Stegostoma tigrinum: one gene and its partner. The protein of the gene in region 2 interacts with the protein of the main gene of each other region in a pairwise test. Links are inferred from orthologs where the notes say so. Each region holds a gene or a part of one and is shown on either strand. Other genes may lie near its edges. The genes, in order: tax1bp1b and tnfaip3.

What was found.
Region 1: the proteins of tnfaip3 (region 2) and tax1bp1b interact in binary tests that used the Homo sapiens proteins (3 or more experiments, as listed by UniProt). The link is inferred for Stegostoma tigrinum from reciprocal best matches to the Homo sapiens genes TNFAIP3 and TAX1BP1.

Annotation. Positions count from the first base shown.
Region 1 is NC_081355.1:58,213,688-58,225,150, reverse strand, and holds the start of tax1bp1b (tax1-binding protein 1 homolog B), read right to left. Parts: upstream 4,968-11,463; 5' UTR 4,714-4,967; intron 1-4,713. Other genes in the region: 3-hydroxyisobutyrate dehydrogenase, mitochondrial-like, read left to right, coding at 5,171-5,240, 10,361-10,521.
Region 2 is NC_081357.1:45,695,241-45,706,624, forward strand, and holds the start of tnfaip3 (tumor necrosis factor alpha-induced protein 3), read left to right. Parts: upstream 1-7,117; 5' UTR 7,118-7,368; intron 7,369-7,543; 5' UTR 7,544-7,558; coding exon 7,559-7,865; intron 7,866-11,384. UniProt on the Homo sapiens protein: Ubiquitin-editing enzyme that contains both ubiquitin ligase and deubiquitinase activities.

The DNA of each region.
Region 1 (11,463 bases), on a different chromosome or scaffold from region 2:
AGGAAAGCATGCCGTATGCCTTCTTGACCACTCTATTGACCTGCATTGCCACCTTCAGGGAACAATGGACCTGAACACCCAGATCTCTCTGTACATCAATTTTCCCGAGGACTTTTCTATTTACTGTATAATTTGCTCTTGAATTAGATCTTCCAAAATGCATCACCTCGCATCTGCCCAGATTGAACTCCATCTGCCATTTATCTGCCCAACTCTCCAATCTATCTATATTCTGCTGTAATCTCTGACAGCGCTCTTCATTAACCGCTGCTGATGGTCGCACTCTAGGGAATGTTGCCAAACAAATAGACCTAGGGGTGCAAGTTCATAATTCCTTGAAAGTGAGTCACAGATAGACAGGGTGATGAAGAAGATGCTTGGCATTCTGGCCTTCATTGATCAGCGGATTGAATATAGGAGTCGGGATGTCATGTTACGGCTGTACAAGAAATTGGTGAGATTACATTTAGAATACTGCATTCGATTCTGGTGTCCTTGTTGGAAAAATGTTAAACTTGAAAGAGTTCAGTAATGTTTACAAGGATGTTGCGGGGTTTGGAGGGTTTGAGCTATAGGGAGAGGCTGAATAAACTGGGTTTTTCTCTGGAATGCCAGCCAGGTCTTTTCCCCCAGGCTAGGGGAGTCCAAAATTGGAGGACATAGGTTTAATGTGAGATGGGAAAGATTTAAAAGGGACCTAGGAACAACAGTTTCTCCCAGAGGGTGGTGCATGTCTTGAACATGCTTCCAGAGGAGATAGTGGAAGTGGATATTATTATAACATTTAAAAGGCATTTGGATGGGTACATGAATAGAAGGAATTAGAGGGATATGAGCCAAATGCTGGGAAATGGGTCTAGATCAGTTAAGGATATCTGGTTGGCCTGGACAAGTTGGAATGAAGGGTCTGCTTTTGTGTTGTATGACTCACTGGAGGTCTGGCAGAATCTGTGGAGAGAAATCAGAATTAACGTTTTGGGTTCAGCGACCCTTAATGAGAACAGTGTGTTCGGTCCGTCAGTTATGTGTGTGTAATGTGCAGTAACATTGGTAATTAGACGATCCAAACTGTGTATAAAGATGCCGAAAGGTTATTTCCCTTCTGGAACAGTCCAGTAGCAAAGTGCATAAACTCGGATTATGAGATTATTGAGATTAATCTCAGATTACATAAAGAGAACATTTAAAAAGAAATGAGGAGGAATTTCTTCTTCAAGGATTGTGAATCTGTGAAATTCTTTTTGTCAGAGGCCTGTTGAGGCTGGGTCAAATGTGTTCAAGGTTAGAAGTAACATGACACCAGGTTATAGACAACAGGTTTATTTGAAATCTCAAACTTTCAGAGTGTAGTGTCTTTTTCAGGTCAAGTGAGAAAGAAACACAGACACAGAATTTAATGGCAGACAGAGATCAAAGACTACACAAATGGTGTGAGTGAAGTGCCAAATAATAAAACTGTACAAACTAATTAAGGTAGAGAGATCATAACAATTTGTCCAGGTGATGGTGACAAAACAAGACAGGAGGGAAGATTGTATAGATATAGTACCATGTGGTGGGGTCACAGGTAGCACAATATGAACCCAAGATCACGGGTGAGGCCATCTTCATGGGTATAGAACTTGGCTATCAGTTTCTGCTTGGCAATTCTGCATAGTTGTGTATCTCGAAGGCCACCTTGGAGGATGCTTACCTGAAGATCAAGGGCTGAATGTCCTTCACCGCTTAAGTTTTCACCAAATGGGAGGAGCATTCCTGTCTAGTGATTGTTGCATGGTGTCCATTCATCTATTGTCTTGGAGGATGCTTACCCAATAAGTCTTCAAGATACACAACAAGGCAGAATTGTCAAGCACCAACTGTAGCCAAGTTCTGTCAAGAGCTGACTTAGTTGCTACAGTGTTTCTTGTCTCTGACCTACACAGTATTTATATGGCGAGTCCAGTTCAGTTCTAGTCAATTCCCTGGATATTGATATAAAGGATTCAGGGATGGTAATGCCATTGAATTTCATGGGGCGGTGGTTAAATGTCTCTCACTGAAGATGATCATTGCCTGGCATTTGTGTGCCGCAAATGTTGATTGCTACTTATCAGCTCAAGCCTGGATATTCTTCAGGTCTTGCTGCATTTGGACATGGACTGCTTCACTTTGAGGAGTTACAAACGGTGCTGAACATTGTGCCATCATCAGTGAATCATCCCTGTTTATGAGCTTATGACCTTATGTCCTTACATTAGGGAAGGTCATTGATGAAGTGGCTGAAGATTTTGCCTGTAGCACACTACCCTGAGGAACTCCTGCAGAAATGTCCTGGCGCTGGGATAACACACCAACAACCACAATCATCTTCCTATGCACTAGAAATGACTTCAATCAGTGCTGACTTTTTCCTCGGATTCCCATTGATTTCAGTTTTGGTAGGGCTTCTTGGCCACAATGGCCTCAATGTCAAGGGCTGTCATTCTCACATCATGTCTGAAATTCAGCTCTTTTGTCTGTATTTGAATCAAGGCTGTACTGAGGTCTGGAGCTGAGCAGCCCTGGGGGAACCCCAAGTGGGGAGAGGCTGCTTGAAAGCACTGTTGGTGACATCAAGTAGACTGATGGGGCAGTATTGGCCAGGTCGGATTTTTCCTGCTTTTGAGGAAGAAAGAAATGCTTTAAAAATTAAACTGAAATATAAATTTGCAAGGCTGTAAGATAGAACAGGGAAATGAAAGTGACTCAATTGCAGTGAAGACTGTTGGCATGGACTAAACAGGTCGTTGACTTTCTTCTGTGCTGTCATAACTGTAGATATTTTAAATCAACCTGTTCAGATACCTGTAGAACCCAGACTGTGTGACACAAAGGGTGAACAATACCACTGCCGTGCAACAGCCCTTTTACACAATATGACTTATGACTAGAAGGATATATTGACATGATTAAAGAAAGACATGTCGATGGAAGCTTATGTGTTGCATACATAGCAGCAAGGACCTGCTAGGGTAATGACCTATTCCACTGCTGTTAAGAGTATACAATGCAAATATTGTAGCATTACTTCATTTGTGTTCTTCTTGCTTTTGTCTAAAATATTACAAATCAATAAATATTAGTTTCATTGCACTAGTAATGATTTCAAGATCTGTCATTCATTATTTAAAAAGAAAGAGAAAGTACATGGATGTCCACTGTATTTCTCGTGCATTGCAATTTAACGATCAAACAAGGTTACAGAGTCATAGAACAGAAAACAGAAGTTGAAGGAAATGTTCAGCAGGTCTGGCAGCAGCTGTGAAGAAAAAATCAGTGTTAATATTTCAGGTCCAGTGACCCCTCCTCAGAAGGCAGCCCAATCCAGACTCACAGTATCCTTGGTGTAAAAAAAAATTAGCTCTCTGGACTCTTTTGTAGCTCTCTCTCCTCTCACTTTAAAACTAGGCCCTCTAGTTTTAGACTCCCCTACCTTAGGGAAAAACTGTTGGGTCTCTACCTTAACTATGCCGCTCATAATTTAATAGACTTCTGGGCATTCCAGGGATAAAACTCTCAGCTTATCCAGCCTCTCCTTACACCTTCCAGTTCAGGTAGCATCCTAGTAGATCTTTTCTGTACTCTTTCTAGTTTAATAATATCCTTTCTATAGTAGGACAACCAGAACTGCTTGTAGTACTCCACATGTAGCCTTACCAACATCTTGTACAGCTGCAACAAGATTTCCCAATTCCTATACTGCTCTGACTGATGAAAGCAAGCATGCCAAAAGCTGCCTTCACCATCCTGTCTACCTGTAATTCGACTTTCAAAGAGCTACGAACCTTTACCCTGGGATGTTTGTTCTAATGACACACCCCGGGGCCCTACCGGTGACTGTGTGAGTCCTGCCCTGGTTTGAACTACTAAAATGCAATTAAACTTTATCTACCATTCTTCAGCCTACTTTCCCAGTTGATCAAGATCTTGCTGTATTCCCAGACAACCTTCACTGTCCACTATAATCACCGATCTTGGTGTCATCAGCAAACTTACTAACCATGCTTCCTAAATTCCCATCCAAATCATTTATCCAATCCAACACTGCTGTTCACATGCATCTCGCTTGAAAATCAACCCCCTACCACCAACCTTTGTCTTCTCCCATCACGCCAATTTTGTATCTGGTTGGCTAGCTCTCTCTGGATCCTGTGAAATTTAACCTTACTCAACAACCCATTATGTGGTACCTTGCTAAAGGCCATGTAGACATCTACCTCAATAGCCTTATCTACTTACTCGGTCACCTCTTCAAATTCATGAGTCACGATTGTCACGATTTCCCACGCACAAAGCTATGCTGACTATCCCAAATGAGTCCTTGCCTCCTCAAATGTCTGCAGATCTGTCTCTCAGAATCCCCTCTAACAACGTCAGGCTCACCCGTCTGTAGTTCCCAGACATTTCTCTACATAATGGTACAACATTAGGCACCTTCCAACCTTCAGGCACTTCTTCCGTGGCAGTCGACGATGCAAATATCTCCGGTGGGGGCCCCACAATTTCCTCCCTAGCCTCCCACAAAGGTTGAAAGAAATTTACATTTTATTGTTAACAGTAGGAAACAAAAAAAACTGCCTAATCAAAGCTTAAGAACAATTGGTTGACTTGCTGCGAACACTATCAAGTAAGATCATAGAAGATTTTACAATAAGTATTTCAAGTGCATGCGAACGAATTGAAACAAATCACCTGGATGGATTTGCTATGCAAAGCATCACTCTTGAAGCAACATTTAAAAATGTGAATGGACGGATTATTGTCCGGTTCTTGTAGCAGTGAAGCTGTAATCAGGGCACGAATTATAAACTTGAGGTTTCAAATCACGTCCTTTTTCACAAATCGGAAGAAATCTCCATCCCGTGCTGAATAATATCGCTCTGGCAGACACAAATGTGGTAAACAGATGGGAGCTCGGGGACCGAGTTTAACTAGGAGTAAGAAAGCAGCAATGCCGAAGTGCTACGAGCTTCAGCTGCTCATTCCAGGGATGTCCCGGTGCCAGATGTTATTGATTGGTTAGCGCTTGCGTCATCGCCTGCAGCTTATGCATTGGCGCGGGCTCTGTCACGCCCACTTCTCTCTACCCGGTGATAGGCTGCTCAGCCTGGCAATCACAGCAACTAGAGGTCGGCCAGAGAACATAAGTATGGCGGCCGTTATAAGGAGGTCAAGCAACTTGTCCCTCAAGTATACTAACTATATTCGGCACTGTATTGGTAAGGCTTCTTGCTTGTTTTTTTGTGCACTTTTTTGGTTTGCATTCGTGGAAATGTCGATGCTGAGCGTGAAGGCTTTACAAGGACCTGTCGGACAACGTTCCTTTAGGAGCCAGAGTGGAAGCTGCAATAACTTAAAATATGTTTCTGTTTTTTTTCTCTCCCTTAGCCCACCCCAATTGTCATCTGTATAGTAACACTCCGACGGTTTTAACTCACTTTAGTAGAAGTTGAAAGGGCGGGCTCCGAAGTTTTTCTCTCATATCTTAACTCATACATGTGGATTGTTGTACACTAGTTGATTTTTCTTTGGTGTTGTTCATCCGTTTGCAAGATAACTAGTGACGTTTGTACAACAGATTTTTAAAAAAGCCTTCCAAAACTATATAACACTTCTAAGTGTAACATTTGGCATCAGGTGTTTGGTCTGGGTGGAATTTGTATCATCTTGCATGTTGAAAATAGAATTCAGTTGTGAAACATGCTTGGAGTTTTTCAAATATAGAATTGTATTAGGCTTGTTGGGACGTTTGAATTTGACAAATTTTCAGAGTACATTTGGCATTATTAAACAAATGACTGCAGAATTGACAGTGCTGCAATTTACTCCTAATGCAGCAAACAGATGCTTGTAGTTCTCCAACATCTTGGCCAAGGACATTAATGGTGTGCTTGATGAGACTAATATTAATAAAGGGTGATGGAAGACAGTTTTGTTTTAACTCCTTTCCCAATCCTGCACCTTAATGCTGACAAGTTCAATTCATTTGTATTTTACCTCATTGTCAAGGTCCTGTTTCTGCTGTTTTAACCAATTCCAGGTGTACCTCTGCTCCCACACTTTGGTCTTTTTAGCTTTCTTTTGCTTCCTGCAATTTAGAGGTATCTTCAGTTGGAGTATCCTGATGTTTTAGAACTTCCTGCCTTTTGTTGCTGTGCTAGTATTAAAAATGAGTTTTTATCCATGATTTTGATAAATTTGCAGAATAGCTGTGATTTTTAAACTAAATATTTTGGGGGGTGGGGGGGCTTTCTATGTTCTATGCATGATAATGGCTTTACTTTTTAAAAAAAAAAAATCCTGCCTTAAACCTGGTTATGTCCACATGTGACCTTTTCTAGCTGTTTGGGTTGTAATCGGGAGCCTGTGGTGCTTGGGGTATGGTTAGGAGTTTTAGTATTGAAAACTTTGCCCCAACTAAGGTCAATTGGTGATTGACCAAGATTGGCACCTTTTTATGCTAAATGCTGCTTAAAAATTATAGTGATTCATTTTTTAATGAATCACTACAGTGTGGAAACATGCCTTTTGGCCCATCAAATCCACACTGACCCACCCAGACCCATTCCCCCTTTTAACCCACCTAATCTAGGCATCCCTGAACACTATGGGCAATTTAGCATAGCCAAGCCACCTAGTCTGCATGTCTTTGGACTGTGGGAGGAAGCCCACGCAGACACTGGGAGAATGTGCAAACTCCACACAGACAGTCAGCTGAGGGTGGAACTGAATCCAGGTCCCTGGTGCTGTGAGGCAGCAGTGCTAACCACTGAGCCACTATGCTGCCCAAAATATGGATATGTACATCATCTAGCCATCCTTCCCACTAATTATGTGAATGTTGGTCATTCAGTGAACTTAATTGCATTTACAGCATTTTTTATGTTGAACAATACTGTGGGAAATGGCATCAGTCACTGAGTTTCAAATAAGCTGGAATTCATGTGGAATGAAGAATGGGAGGCGGGAGGAATTTGTTGACAAAATTGATGTACCATCATAGACCAAGGTTTCAGCAATTGAAAATCTGAGGATAGATCAGTCTCGTGAAATTGGATATATGTTGTATCTGCTGTTGGATTTGGAATTCAGTCTATCGTGTTGAATGGTAATACTTGATCTGTTTTGGACAACATGCGTTTTGCTGGGGAGGGTTTGAAGTTGGAAACGAGGGTGAGTGTAGTTTTCTTGTTCAGCCCCAAAACATGAGTCTTGATCTTTAATGGCAGATACTGTTGAAAATTAAATAGTTACCATTGACACGAGAGAATGCAGCTATTTCGACAATGTTGATGGTAATCTGTGTTGATATTTTGGCCTTGTGATAGTTCATGACTTTGGCATGGGGCACCATGTAAATGTGGAAGAGGTCATGGGCCAAGAAGAGGTCTTCATAGTTGAGCATAGAGGGGAATTTTGGATCGATGGAAGTGTAGCCCTCACTGCAACAACTTCAGTTAGTTCAGAGTGGAACCATTGAAAAGTAGTTACAAAGCTGGAGTGTAATGAAGATATGATGTTGTGGTCGTGATGGTCAACAGCATCAAACACGGCACAAAATCAAGGGCATAGAACGAGTAATTGCTTACAAACTAGTGAGGCATAAATTTCTACTTTGGGTCAGAAGACGGTTTGGAGGAATTCAGTAAAGATGAAATGCATGACGACTTGAGTGGAGAAAAGGAGATCGCCTGCAACTGCAGTTGCATTGGCAACTTGATCAAGGGTACACTGAGAAGGGGAGCGAGGCAGGTTCATGTATTTGTATTCTGTTGACCTGTCCTCCACTCTAGTTAATAAATAACGTTTCTAAGTATGGCAGACATCTTATCGTGAGGTTTGACCTTATCACAATTTAAAACTTGGTTGCAGCGTTGTATCAACCTGCATTACGTCAGTGACTGTTCCAAAAACAATTTAATTTTATAGTAGTCGTTCAGATCTTCTGTGGTGAAGAAGCCTACACAGATGTTACATCTTGTAAATATCTAAATTTAAAAAAGTAAAACTCCATGATTTAAAACTTGCATGAAACACTAAATTCATCTTTGCTTAATAATGCAGTTTACACTTAATACAATAAAACTACAGTTATAAATTTATGACTTCCTCGAACAGCATTTTTGGAGGTAATTGGGTAAATGTACCACTATGTTAGAAATGTAGGAGAAGATTCTATTTTTGAGACATCCACCTGAAATACCATTTCCGTATACTAAGTTTCCTGGCAAAACTGAGGAATTTTGTTTCAATGTCTCTGTTGACCTAAAAGGTCTTTGATCCCTGTTTACCTATAATATCACAGTTGTTACAGCACAGAAGGGCATAAGGCCTATCACACCTGTCGGCTCTTGCCAAGAGCAATTTAGTTATTGCCATTCCTCTGTATTCTCCTTGAAGCCTTGCATGTTTCCCCCTGCCTAGATAGTAAATCCTCCACCACATTCTCAGGTAGTGCTTTCCAGATCCTTTCCACTGTGTAATGCCGAGTGGTATCCAGAATTACAAACAATATTGTACATGAGGCTGAAGCAGTGCTTTGTACAGATTTCAACATAACCCATAAATCATTGACTATTGAAATAGAGCATAAAATTATCGTGGTGTGAGGGAGTCTAAAATTGCAGCATCCAAACCTTTTTCTATGGAGAACACTTGGATGCATACTACAGTTTTTAAATACATAATACCTGTCGTGTGTATTTCATCTTTTTTATAGTTACTGACACAGCTTGCTGAGGTGAATTTTGAAGATTTGACTCTCAGTCAGGTAATTGTGCTTAAAAACACAATTTTCCAACCCTCTTATTCACATAATTGAAGTAGAAAAGGAAGGAAGAGTAGTTGGAGTATTATAACTTATTAGGTCAGATTGCTTAAGCTAATGGACAAGTTTTTTAAAAGTAGATTTAAACTGGATTGGTGGGGTACTGCAGGGATCAATGCTTGGACCAGAGCTGTTCCCAAAACACATTACATTTGTAACAAAAACAGAAGTTGCTGGAAAAACTCAGCATCTGTGAAGAAAGAAACATCAGAGTTCATGTTTGGGGTTCAGTGACCCTTTCTCAGAACAGAACATTACATTTAGTTCCTTGATCTAAATAATTAATGTGCCTCTGTCTGCCTATGACAAAGTTGGGTGGGAGGGTGAACTGAGGAGGATGTTGAGATGAATTGTACAATTTAGCCAAGCTGACTGAGTGGGAAAATACATAGCAGATGGGGTATAATGTGTCTAAATGTGAGGTCATCCCCTTCGGTAGCAAAAACAAAAAAGTGGATTATGATCTGAATGATACATTATGAAAGGGTGGTGCAATGAGCTGTCTTTTTATGCCAGTCACTGAGTGTAAGCATGCAATTGCAGCAGGGGGTGAAGGCAAACGGTATGTTATCCTAAATAGTGAGAGGATTTGAGTATGAAAGCAGGGATGTTTTGCTGCAATTGTGCAGGGCCCAGCAGAGACCACACCTGAAGTATTGCCAGACAAGTAACTGTGGATGCTAGAAATCTGAAACAAAAATGAAATGGCTGGAGAAACTCAGTGACTCTGGCAGTTCTCGTAAAGAGGAAAAAGTTGATTAGATTAGATTCCCTACAGTGTGGAAACAGGCCCTTTGGCCCAACAAGTCCATACCACCCCTTGATATATCCCACCCAGATCCAGCCCCCCATTACCCACACACCCCTGAACACTATATGGGCAATTTAGCATGGCCAATCCACCTAGCCTGCACAAATATTTTGAATTCAGTGATCCTTTTTCAGAAAATAGTTGTGGCCAAAATCTTCTTTTCAAGAAGGAAAGGAAATAGGTATAATTCTTGGGGTTAAAGGGATCAAAAGTTATGGCATTTAAAGCAGAAACTGAGTTGGTGATCTGCCATGGTCATGCCATCACAGGCTCAAAGGGCAGCACGACCTTGTTCCTATTTTGTTTGCTGTGTTTGAGATGAGATTCTTTTCCACACTGTGCTATTGCTAACCTGGAATAGATTCTCATGAGGTAGTGAGCAATGGTGACGAATGCCATATTTTCTCCATTTCTTAAGTGGAGTTGAGAGCTAGAAGAATGTGCAGAAGAAATTTAGAATTGTAAGCAAGTCACTAGAGAAATGAGAAAAGCAGAATTGTAATATCCCAAGCTGGATGAGTTGAAATTGGCTAACAGCATAAATGACATCGAACTACACTTTTCCCATTTTTGGGTTTACTCCTATTTTATGTTAGTCCTGTGCAAAGCCAAATACATTTTTGACTTTACTAAGTATGAATGTAACTTGCAAAATATGAAAGGTGTCACTCTGTTGTAATTAAAAAGGACTGGTCTAATAGTGTCTTCCAGATCAATGGCCTCGAAAGCCCAAGTGGGATTTATTGGTCTGGGCAACATGGGTAATCCAATGGCAAAGAACCTCATAAAGCATGGCTATCCCATTATTGCTTCAGATGTCTTCCCAGAATCATGCAAGGAAATAGAGGACTTAGGAGCCCAGGTAATTCAGTGGTCTTGAATTTTGTAGAATCATGTTTGTGACAATTTTTTTTTTATTTTTGCTGTTGTGATTTGTTCCATTTCTTAATTCTCACCTTTTTGAATCAGTTGCAGATCAAGTAAGAATGGATTTCATGAAATGATAATTAGAAAACTGGTCCAATTACAGACAGTCCTTTATCTTTAAAAATGTGTGCAAGTAGCATTAGTGCCTTTGGTTAGAATGTGGCTAATGCAAGGCCAGCCTTGGAAAGGGTCAAATTGAGAGCATGTTCATATTATAGGTATCCTAAAGGCATCCTAAAACCGCATCTGTCAGAGGATAGCTGTCTGTTGGTTTAATCATTCTGAGGTTATGATGTTCATGTAAATTCATTCTTGACAATTGTTGATTTGAACATTGCTTGGGTTTGTTTCCAGTTATTTTTATTTCAAATTTAACTGGATTCCAAGCAGTTAGTTTACATTTGATTCTTCCCATTTAAAAATGAGTACAACTTTTAAATATTTTTAAAAATTGACTTATTATTGCCACATGTACTGAGATCCAGAGGAAAGTATTGTTTCGTGTGCTAACCAGAGAAATCAGGGTAATAATGCAGAACAGTGTTACAGCTACAGAATTTGAGGTGAAGAGTGCATGCTCTTCGCATCAAGGAATCTTGCAAAACTGGAATTGGGGGAAAACTCTCCACTAGTTGGAGTCATACCTGGAACAAAGGAAGATGGTTGTGGTTGTTGGATGTCTGACATCTCAACTCCAGTGCATCTCTGTTTGAGCTCCTCAGGTGATGTCCTAGGTACAGACATCTTCAGCTGCTTCAACAATGGTCTTACCTCCATTGTAAGGTCAGAAGTCAGGATGTTTGTGGATGTCTGTGGTCAGCACTATTTGTTTCTGATTTTTCAGATACTGAGACAAATCCATGTCCCAATGCAGCAG
Region 2 (11,384 bases):
GTCACCGGCAGTCCTAACAGAAGGTCCCTGCTTGTGACGGGACTGGAAGTTAGGTACCTGTGACACCAAAGACCCAAAGCGTGTCAGGGAGAGGAGGAACCAACGAGAGAAATGGCATTAGCTAGTAAGAGACATATTTGCAACTCCTCTTGATTCTGTAATCAGGTAAGCATCTCTTTTAAAAACTTACCATGTTACAGGGGTCTTTAATGAGTTTGTTTGACCGTATGTGACTCTGCTAACCCTGAGTGCATTTTGGTGTCAGCCAATTTTACAACGTATATCCTGAAAGAGGCATTTTGGCAAATTCTTGGGATCTAGTTTTAGATATCTGGCCTCTAAGGTATAACATGTTATCATGATGAATGTTGGAAAAGATCTATTCAATGGTTCATTCCAGTATGTAATTTATGCTCAACATTACTGAACAATTTAAGAAAATAATGATTTAAAGAAGAATATTTAATGGGAACCAGACTTTTTTTTTCTTTATTCTTTCATGTCTTCTCTGATAAGTCTCATGTTTTCTTCCCATCCCTAATTTTTGATGACAGGTCACTGAACTGAAATATGAAATTTGTTTTTCTGAATATGCTGAATATTTTAAATATTTTCTATTTTTATTCCAGATACACAGCATGTACATACAGTTCCGAAATAAATAGGGAGAGAGGGGGAGGCGGAGCGAAGATGGAAGAGGAGAAGATAGGTGGAGAGGAGAATATAGGTGGGGAGGTAGGGAGGGGATAGGTCAGTCCGGGAAGGACCGTCAGGTCAAGGAGCCGGGATGAGGTTAGTAGGTGGGAAATGGAGGTGCGGCTTGAGGTGGGAGGAGGGTATAGGTGAGAGGAAGAACAGGTTAGGGAGGTGGGGACAAGCTGGGCTGGTTTGGTGATGCAGTGGGTGGAGGGGACAAGCTGGGCTGGTTTTGGGATGCAGTGGGGGAGGGGGAGATTTTAAAGCTTGTGAAATCCACATTGATACCATTGGGCTGCAGCGTTCCCAAGCGGAATATGAGTTGCTGTTCCTGCAACCTTCGGGTGGCATCATTGTGGCACTGCAGGAGGCCTATGATGGACATGTCGTCTAAGGAATGGGAGGGGGAGTTAAAATGGTTCGCGACTGGGAGGTGCAGTTGTTTATTGCCAACCGATCGGAGGTGGCTACCTCTACATTGGGGAAACCAAGCGGAGGCTTGGGGACCGCTTTGGAGAACACCTCCGCTCGGTTCGCAATAAACAACTGCACCTCCCAGTCGCGAACCATTTTAACTCCTCCTCTCATTCCTTAGATGACATGTCCATCATGGGCCTCCTGCAGTGCCACAATGATGCCACCAGAAGGTTGCAGGAACAGCAACTCATATTTTGCATGGGAACGCTGCAGCCCAATGGTATCTATGTGGACTTCACAAGCTTTAAAATCTCCCCATCCCCCACTGAACCCCAAAACCAGCCCAGCTCGTCCCCTCCCCACACTGCATCACCAAACCGGCGCAGCTCGTCCCCGCCTCCCTAACCTGTTCTTCCTCTCACCTATCCCCTCCTCCCACCTCAAGCCGCACCTCCATTTCCCACCTACCAACCTCATCCCGCCTCCTTGACTTGTCCGTCCTCCCCGGACTGACCTATTCCCTCCCCACCTCCCCACCTATACTCTCCTCTCCACCTATCTTCTCCTCTATCCATCTTCAGTCCACCTCCCCCTCTCTCCCTATTTATTTCAGTTCCCTCTCCCCATCCCCCTCTCTGATGAAGGGTCTAGGCCCGAAACATCAGCTTTTGTGCTCCTAAGATGCTGCTTAGCCTGCTGTGTTCATCCAACTACACACTTTGTTATCTTGGATTCTCCAGCATCTGCAGTTCCCATTATCTCTGATGTACATACAGTGTTGTGTTTCTGCGATAAAACTTGCTTCTTTGAAAAGTGTGCAATATATCTGGCCTCTAAGGTATAACATGTTATCATGATGAATGTTGGAAAAGATCTACTCAATGGTTCATTCCGGTATGTAATTTATGCTCAACATTACCGAACAATTTAATAAAATAATGATTTAAAGAAGAATATTTAATGGGAACCAGACTTTTTTTTTCTTTATTCTTTCATGTCTTTTCTGATAAGTCTCATATTTTCTTCCCATCCCTAATTTTGCTTGAACTGAATGGAATACTACACCACTTCAGCAGGCAGTTAAGAGTCAGCTACATTGGTATAAACATAGAAACATAGGAGAAAGGAGCAGGAGGAGGCCATTCAGACCTTTGCATCTGCTCCACCATTCTTCACAATCATGGCTAATCATTCAACTCAACAGCCTAATCCTGCTTTCTCCCCATAACCTTTGATCCTATTCGTTCCATGCACTATAACCAGTTGCCTCTTGAATACATTCAATGTTTTGGCATCAACTACTTTCTGTGCAAATAGTTTCTGCAAAATTGCACAAAATATTCCAGGTATGGTCTCACCAAGGTCCTGTCCAACTGCAACAACACATCCCTGTTCCTGTACTCAAAACCTCTGGCAATGCAACCCAATATACCATTTGGCTGCTTTACTACTTGCTGCTCCTGCACGCTTACCTTTAGTGACTGGTGCACAAGGACACCCAGGTCCCACTGCACACTCCCCTCTCCCAATTTACTGCCATTCAGTTAGTAATCTACTTCTTGTTTTTGCTTCCGAAGTGAATAATCTCACATTTACCCAAATCACACTGCATCTGCCATTGATTTATTCACTCACCCAACCTGTTAAGATCATGCTAAAGGATCTCTGTACCCTCGTCACAGTTCACCCTCCTTCTCCGCATGGTATCATCTGCAAATTTGGAGATGTTACATTTTGTTCCATCATCCAAATCATTAATATATATTGCGAATAGCTGGTGTCCTAGCACAGATGCCTGTGGCACCCCACTAGTTACAGCCTGCCAATTTGAAAATAACCCGTTTGTTCGTTATTCTTTATTTCCTCTCTGCCAACCATTTTCCTATCCATCTTAATGCACTGCCCCCAATCCCATGCACTTTAAACTTACACATTAATGTTTCATGTGCGACTTTGTCAAACACTTTCTGGCTCCCCTTGTCAACGTTACGAGTTACATCTTCATAGAATTTCAACAGATTTGTCAAGCATGATTTCTACTTCATAAATCCATACCGGGATGGGTCTGAAGTCACAAAAAGAACCAGACCAAGTAAGAACAGTAGATTTCCTTCTCAGTGAGGGATCAATGAATGAGATGAGTTTTTACAAGATTGATGATAGTTTCATGGTCACTATTTCTGATACCAGCTTTCAATTCCAGATTATTTGAATTTAAATTCCAACCACTGATAATGTGGATTTTAACCTATATATCTCCAAAATATTAACTGAGACTGCTGGTTGACTAGTCCAATAACAGTATCACTGCATCACTATCTCCATGTATGCAATTACGGTTGTGCTACCGGGAACCAGAACTCAGGAATGTCAATGTTGTGTGTTGTTTAACCTTGGAATTGTTACTGTTGTGTACTATCTGAATGTGGAAGTATCAGTTCTGTACTATGTATTATTTGATTTTGCATTATCTGAGCTAAGAACTATTCGTGCAGAGCATTCTCTTTACTTGAACATAGACAGGTTTCTCCAGGATTGTCTATGTTTGTTTTAGGACAACAGATTGCCTTCTTCAAAGAACATTAATGAGCCAGATTGAACTCATGTCTCCAGACTTTATGAAGGAGGTGCTTTTTTTCAGGATGCTCTGAAAAGAGTAGGGGTAAAGACTTAAAGTTTAACAAAGAGGATTAACATGGCAGCCATGGAGGCACAGTATAAGGAGATGGTAGATCCTGTTGGATAGTTTCCTGAGCAGAAATTGGCAGAATGCCTCTTTGTCAGAATTTAGAAACAAGCGTTGAGAACACAGCTTGAATGGTGGTGATAAAGACCTTACTTGCCAGATCTTTCCTACATGCTCAGGGTCTCATCACCTCCATACTTTGGCCTCAAGGTGGCTGTGTTAGGTAAAATACTAATGTCCATCTGCCGAGCTAAATGTGCCTTTGCATTTATAATCAGACTGAGTAGAACATGATCTATTAGGACAGGTTGAAGTTTCTTACAAAATCTGGAATATTCAAGTAAAATATTTTGCCATTTACAAATTTTATGAATAAAGATTTTTAGAAGAAAACATGTCTAAAGACTGTAGAATAAAGGTTTATATTGTAAATCTATACATTTGAATTTGTGTGTACAAATGCATTAGCGCACTAATGACTAATGTTGTAAATTAGTAGACTTGCATTAATGATCTAGTGACATGAGTCCAAATCCCACCAAAGAATTAACAGCTTGGATTGTGAATAGTGAATTTTTGAAATTACCAGATTGTTGTAAAAATTGATCTGGCTCATTCATACTCTTTAAAGTGGGCAATCTGTTGTTCTAAAACAAACAGAGAATCCTCGAGAAATTCAGAAGTCTGGCAGCATCGCTGGAGAAAGAAACAGAGTTAACATTTTAAGACGGTATGACTACTTCTGACTGGACTCAATGTTAACTCTGTTTCACTCTCTACAGATGCTGCTAGACCTGCTGAGTTCCACCAATGTTCTCTCTGTTGGTCTTGGATTTCTATCATCCACAGTATTTTGCTTTTAATCTGTTGTTTTAATCTGGACTAATATGTAAGTGGGTCCAGATCCATAGCAATATGTTTGGTTTTTAATGATTCTCTGAAATAGCCCAGCAAGTTATTCATTACATTCAAAATGGTGGCACACAACCATCTTCTCAAAGTCAATTAGGAATGTCTAATGATGGCTAGCCTACCTTATTACATCCAAATGTCATGAATAAATTAATAAAAAATATTCACTAATAATATTGTGAACTTCTGTGATACCATCATCAGTTCGCTCTAAAAGTACGAATATAGGAACCAAAAGTTAACTTTAATGTCAGGAGGTCATGAGATAACATCTTTACTCTTGAAAGAAAATTAAAGGGAATTCATTTTACTGAAGTGTCAAAGAATTTAAATGATGTTCAGTAAACCTGGAGCATTTCTTCAGTATATATCTTGATGATAGGGACTGGGAACATAAGTGTAAAATAATGAAAATGAATATAAGACTACTGGCTTTCTATCTCAAGGACCAGAATACAAGGGGGTAAGTTTTATTTCAGAGATAGAAATGCATATTTTAAATGATACCCGGAATCTCTCTGACAGTCACCTACCTCATTAAACATTGATTTGGGCCTTTGGTGGTCAACCCTTTGGTCAGTGAAACTGCAAGGTCTTCTTCAGAGCACAAGTCAAAACTTACTGAGGCCGTGTGCTGTCAAAAATCAGGAAACCTAAGCTTGCCCTGCCCTTTTGGGCCCAAAAGAGTGCACATTTGACACTAGTTTGGCACAGGAGTCACCCAAGGTAAAAACACAGTTAGGCATCAATTTGAATTTGGACTCCACTTCAGGTGTTTTGTCATTTTATTACTCACATTAGGCTTCAACTTTTCCAATGTAGCCACAAGGCAATGAAGCTATCTGCACATAACTAGGAACTTGGTTCATGAATGCCAGGGTATGTCCACATGCTAATGGCCCTGATAATCCTTCACTGTATGTCTGGGGGCTTACCATCCTCTGAGTTCCTCAGAAGCTTTAGACTGGGGTCATAAATGATCTGGTTTCTATGTGCTTCCATGAGAAGATATAGCTGAGCACCTGCCAATGGAAAGGCCGTATACTGACAGAGAGGAACATTCACATTTGGTTCACTTTTTCAAATAGCAGCTAGCCAACTGAAATCCAGTCCAGCACACAAACAGCAGGAAGCATTATATTTCTTTTCATCCAATTCTGGACACAGCACATCGACATTGAGTAATGTGTTCAGTTCAGGGTGCAACAGCTAAGGAAAAATATAATGACCTTGATGGGAGTTCAGTGGGGATTTACAAGGATTTACTAGAATGATAGGTAAACTCAAAGGGTTAAATTATTTCTTGGGTTTTTTTTATAAGCAATTACATAAGCTAGTGTTTCATTCCCTGGAATTTAGAACATGCTGGGGAGATTTGATCAAAATTTTCAAGATATTAAGGGGAAGTGATATGCAGAAACAATGTACTGGTTGGAGAATCTAAGACATGGGGAATAGCTAAAAAATTAAAGGTGGGTCACTTAACAGTGAGGTCACATGAAAAATGCAGTTGTTGTGAGATAATCTGTAAATTTTAAAACAAAGTTTGATACATTACAATAGTTAAAAGTAATAAAGGTCATGGAGTAAAGGCAAACTCAAGTCACTGTCAACTATAGACAATGGAACAGTCCTAAGGGCTAACTGGTCCGATCTTCCTGTGGTGGGAAGAATTTATTCACATGAAGGGATCAGTAAATGGAGGAGAATTCCAGGTATAATACTATAGAATGATCACATTCACAGAAAGAGGCCATTCCATGTGCTCTGTCTGTGTTGGCCCTCTGCAAAAGCAATTCACTTTCTGTGTTTTCTGAAGAAGGGTCTAGGCCCGAAACATCACCTTTCCTGCTCCTCTGATGCTGCTTGGCCTGCTGTGTTCATCCAGCTCTAAACTTTGTCATCTCACTTTCTGTGAACTCCTGTTGCCATTTTAGTGGCAACAAAATTCCTGAAGCCATTCTTAAGCCACTTCAAATGATGCGATTCCTCTAAATGAATAAGCAAAAGGAGGCCAAATGCAACATATTGTATTATGACATGTGATACTTCACTGCATTGTGACCTCGGCTTTTTTTTTATCTGCCCCATATCAGCCTGCGTCCAAAATGAATGCAGACATTGGGAATGCTGAAAAAACTCTTCAGGTCAGCATTTTTGAGAGAGGAACAGAGTTAGCATTTCGAGTTTCGTAAAGTTTCTTCTAATTCAGATTTCCAGCAACTACAATATTTTTGCCTTTATTATGTATGTCTAAAATGAATGCTTTGGAATATTTAGACATCCTTTTCTTTAGTGTATAAAAATGTGATCCAACTGGGATTAGATTTTGTACAAGCATGAGATTTAGATAGACTGCGACCTGGGCTCTGGGGCTCCCTCTGTCGGTGACCAGGACAAGTCAGAGCAAAGTCTGGTTGGAAATCCCCGCTGGAAAGTCCCGGCGTGGTTTCCCTTTTCATCTCGTTCAGTTTCTGTCTTCTGACTTTCGCCAAGGGAGGGGAGATAGAGAGAGAAAAAAAGTGTCTGCAAACCGAACTCATTGTAATGCGAGTGTAGCCCAGAGCCTGCAGTAGCTTTGCAGTTTAAGACGAGAGAAGAAGGGGGTTCCGCACACTAAGGCCAGAGCGAGACTGGTTTGAAAACCCATATAACAGGTACATGTTGTTTCTGACTTGCAAGTAGCAGGTGTTTTCTGTGTGCTCTGTTTGCAGCATGCTTGATTTTTTGTTTAAATGTGACTTGCCTAGTTGCTTCATTCATCAGGAGCTGGCTGTTTTTGAGTGGACCAAACATTAATGTGAACTCACTGACTTTGTCTATCTCCCTCAGGGGCTGCTGTGGAAGATGGCAGCTGAAGGCAGTTTGTTGCCTCAGTTTCTCTTCGCCAGTAACTTGACTAAGACGGTGAGGCTCAGGGAGAGGATCGCCAATGACTTAGTCAGACCGGACTGCACCAATGGTTTGATACACCATTTCAGGAGCCTTCACAGATACACGGTGGAGCTGTTCCGATTGAGTCATTTCAACCTTCGTTTCAGGACTAAAATCCAAGACGCTCTGTTTGACAAGGCCCAAGAGGCTGCCCTTCAGCAAAACAGGAACCTTAACTGGTGCAGAGAGGTCAAGAAACTTGTGCCTCTGAAGACAAACGGTAAGATTTACAACTCATTTTTCTACAATTTTGAAAGTGGTGTCGTGTCTTTAATCTGCACTGCCTGTAAAAGAACTAGCATTCTGAAGAGGATATATAGTGATTGCCCAGTAGATTAATGGTTGGAAGATTATGTGCTTTCTAATACTTAATTTCAGTCCTTCACATCAACAAAATATCTGGATGCAGAATAAGGATTTAATCAGCCCTCATCGTCTATGAATATAGGATTGAAAAAGATAGTCACAGACTTCTAAATCATTAAAATGTAATATCAGCTTAGTGGATATCACACTGCATCTATACACAATGTTTATGTATCTATATTTGATGCTTAAATTAATTGAAGTTGTAGTAGAGTCTGTTTCCACATAGTGGAGTTAGCTGAATGACAATTAATTGATGTTTAATTTTTTCATTCAAAGTCAAATATTTAATTCTTCCAAATAAGGAAATTTTCTGTGTAAGTAATATCTTAATATCCAAAGAAAAGAACAGGTGGATTACTTCAGGAGCCAAGTACTGAATGATCTATTCATCTTAGTACAGTGATCCTCCATTGTAATCAGGTTTGATTTGATTTTAAATGAAACCTTGTATATAATTGTAAATTTCATTGCTTTACTTTGTAAGTAGTATTTCAAGACTATATGATGTGAATGTATGTATTTTGCATTGAATGTGTGCAAATAAAATGCCTAGGATTTTTTGAAAATGTGTTTCAGCTGGTGTTAGCTGTTAAATAGTTGTACATTCACCCAAAAAGATTTGAAATTTGGGCGGTTTCTCAGGTATGAAAGCTTGCAGAAATTGTACAAGGTAGTTTGCAATATTAGTGAAAATCACTACAGCAGCTGAATCCTAAATGTATTGTTCCTTAACTGTGGACAGATAATAGTGTTTCATACTGCTCACGAACAATACATTTTTTTGAAAGCAATTTTGAAATAATTCTGAAACTTGCTGTTGCTCTTTCATGCAGTTTCATTTTCAGTTTAAGAAGTAAAAGATTCATTATGAAAGTCTAAGCATTGAAGCCAAAAAAATCCTTCATGAACATTTATAGAATTGTGTCTCCACTGTGGGGAACAATATCAATTGTGAATTCATGTTTGTTTTTTCCATGAGTTATTTGCCAATAGAGAATGTACAGACTACATTCAGAAATTTAGGTATTTTCAGTGATTCAGTGCTGACGTGTCTGGGGATATGAAAATATTGTAAATGGGGAAGAGTGTAGGTGTCTGTTAAAATTAAAACTTCCCCTAAAAGTCCCAACAGCAATTGGTTGAATCAAATTTTACTTGTGTAATGTATAAACATTCCAAGTACCCAACTCCCCAACCACACCCACTTGGAAATTCCACTTCACAAAATAGGGCTCAGACAGCTACACATTACAAAAGAGAAATGGCGACTAGCTGGCTGACTGACTGTATGCTGTGTTAGTCAAATTGCTACTCATTTGGAAATTCCATAGATTGCACAGGGAATTTTATACGGCCCATTCTTAAAGTCTGAACATTGAACTCTGTGCATTCCGTGATGATTAATTTTAGTGCCCTTTTCAATGTGTACCATGCCTTAAATAGGTTAGATCTGGTTATAACACCCGCCTCAGTTTTATTTTCCCTTTCTTTTTCTTCCTCCATTTTCAGCTCCGCCCCACAAAAAAATTACAAATGAACTATAAATTTCTGTTGCAAATAGGTCCACGTGTTACTCGTTCTTCCACCATATTCAGTTTGACTGCTATAATATGTATTATGAGGACAATCTTAAAAATCATCATGTAATAGTAAAATACTGTGCATACTGCTATTCTGAAACAAACCTGGAAAACACTGGAGAAACTCGGCAGGCCTAGAAGGATTTGTTAGAGGAAAAGAGCGTTAATGTTTTGCATATAAAATGCCCCTTCCTAAAATCACTGTGGCAGTGTAAATGCGTTGGAAAACAGTTGATCAAGGATACAAATGTTACTATAATTTTATTTTTTTAATTCTTGTGGTAAACAATAACAAGCTTTATTCTTTTGTAAGGATAATTTCAATAAATTAATGAACTTAAGCTTCGTGCTTTTAAACTCCTGTATTGAAATTTGAAAATGTGATAGTAACCTTGGAATATTCACTAAATCTGGGCAGTATAAAACACCATTCTATTTCAGATGAACTCAACTCCTTATAGTTATAATTTTGTCCAAAACGAATTGGTTAAAAAATGAATAAGCTTCCCTTGTCTACTATGAGAAAACAAAATACTGCTTGAAGTCTGAAATAAAAGCAGTAAATGCTGGAAGTACTTGGGTCAGGCAGTAACAATGGAGAGAGAAACCAAGTTAACAATTCAAGTTTACATCAAAACAGAGATAGTAGGAACTGCAGATGCTGGAGAATCTGAGATAACAAGGTATAGAGCTGGATGAACACAGCAGGCCGAGCAGGAAAGCTGATGTTTTGGGTCTGATTTCTGAAGAAGGGTCCAGACCCAAAATGTCAGCTTTCCTGCTCCTCTGATGCTGCTTGGCCTGCTGTGTTCATCCAGCTCTACACCTTGTTATCTTACATCAAACAGTTCTAGCGAAGTTTAAGGGTCTGATTTATATGGGACAAAATGTTCCAGGTCCCAGAGTAGGATCAGGAAAATAGTGGGGAACAACACTGGGAATGCTTCCTGACACATATCCACCGAGAGACAAATTTTTGCAGGGTGGAAAGGAATCGCTGTGCACTGTAATGCCCATCAGCTTAATGTAAACTGTTTTCATGAGGCATTCCAGAAACATTGGAGCTGAAGGCTCCATCCCTCAAAGAAGTGGCCACTGAAAGCAAAAGCTCCTAGCAAGTGCTGGTGGCTATTCCAATTTGGCCTTGATGTCAAGACCCCAGTGGTGTGAGGAGAATCCTACCTGTTAATTCTGTTTCTGTCTTGCTCTCTGCACAGATTATATATATATATGCTGCATGCTTCCAGTATTTTCTATTCTGTATGGTGTTTTCAAAGCCGTCTTTCCAAAAGAAGGGATTAATGTTCATTATAGCTGCTTTTTTTAAAAAAAAGTGCTATCTGTAGAAATTAAAAGGCTGCTTGAATGTTTGGCCATGTCAGGAGGAATCTCAAAATGCACTTCTGTATTACTTTTGAAACACAATCACAGTTGTTTAGTAAGTAAAACGTCTAATTTGCATACCAGTTACCACAAATGTTGACCAGACAGTTGCAGTTACTCCCTGCTCCTCTTCAAATTATACATTTGAACTTTTTAAATATTTCTTCTGAAAGCACCTTTAAGTATGCAACATACTTTCAATACCAGTATTAGGTTTATTTTTATGCTCAAATGTGCAGTGAAATCTCATTCCCAAAGATCTGATTCTGGAAAAAATGTTACTAAATAGACCAAAACAGCTCTGAACTTGTTTATGTAGTTAAGTGTTAGTGAAATATCCAAGTGCTGTAACTTGTCTATCCTAAATTTAGCAAAGTTGTAAACGATGGGCAGTCATGTAGTTTACT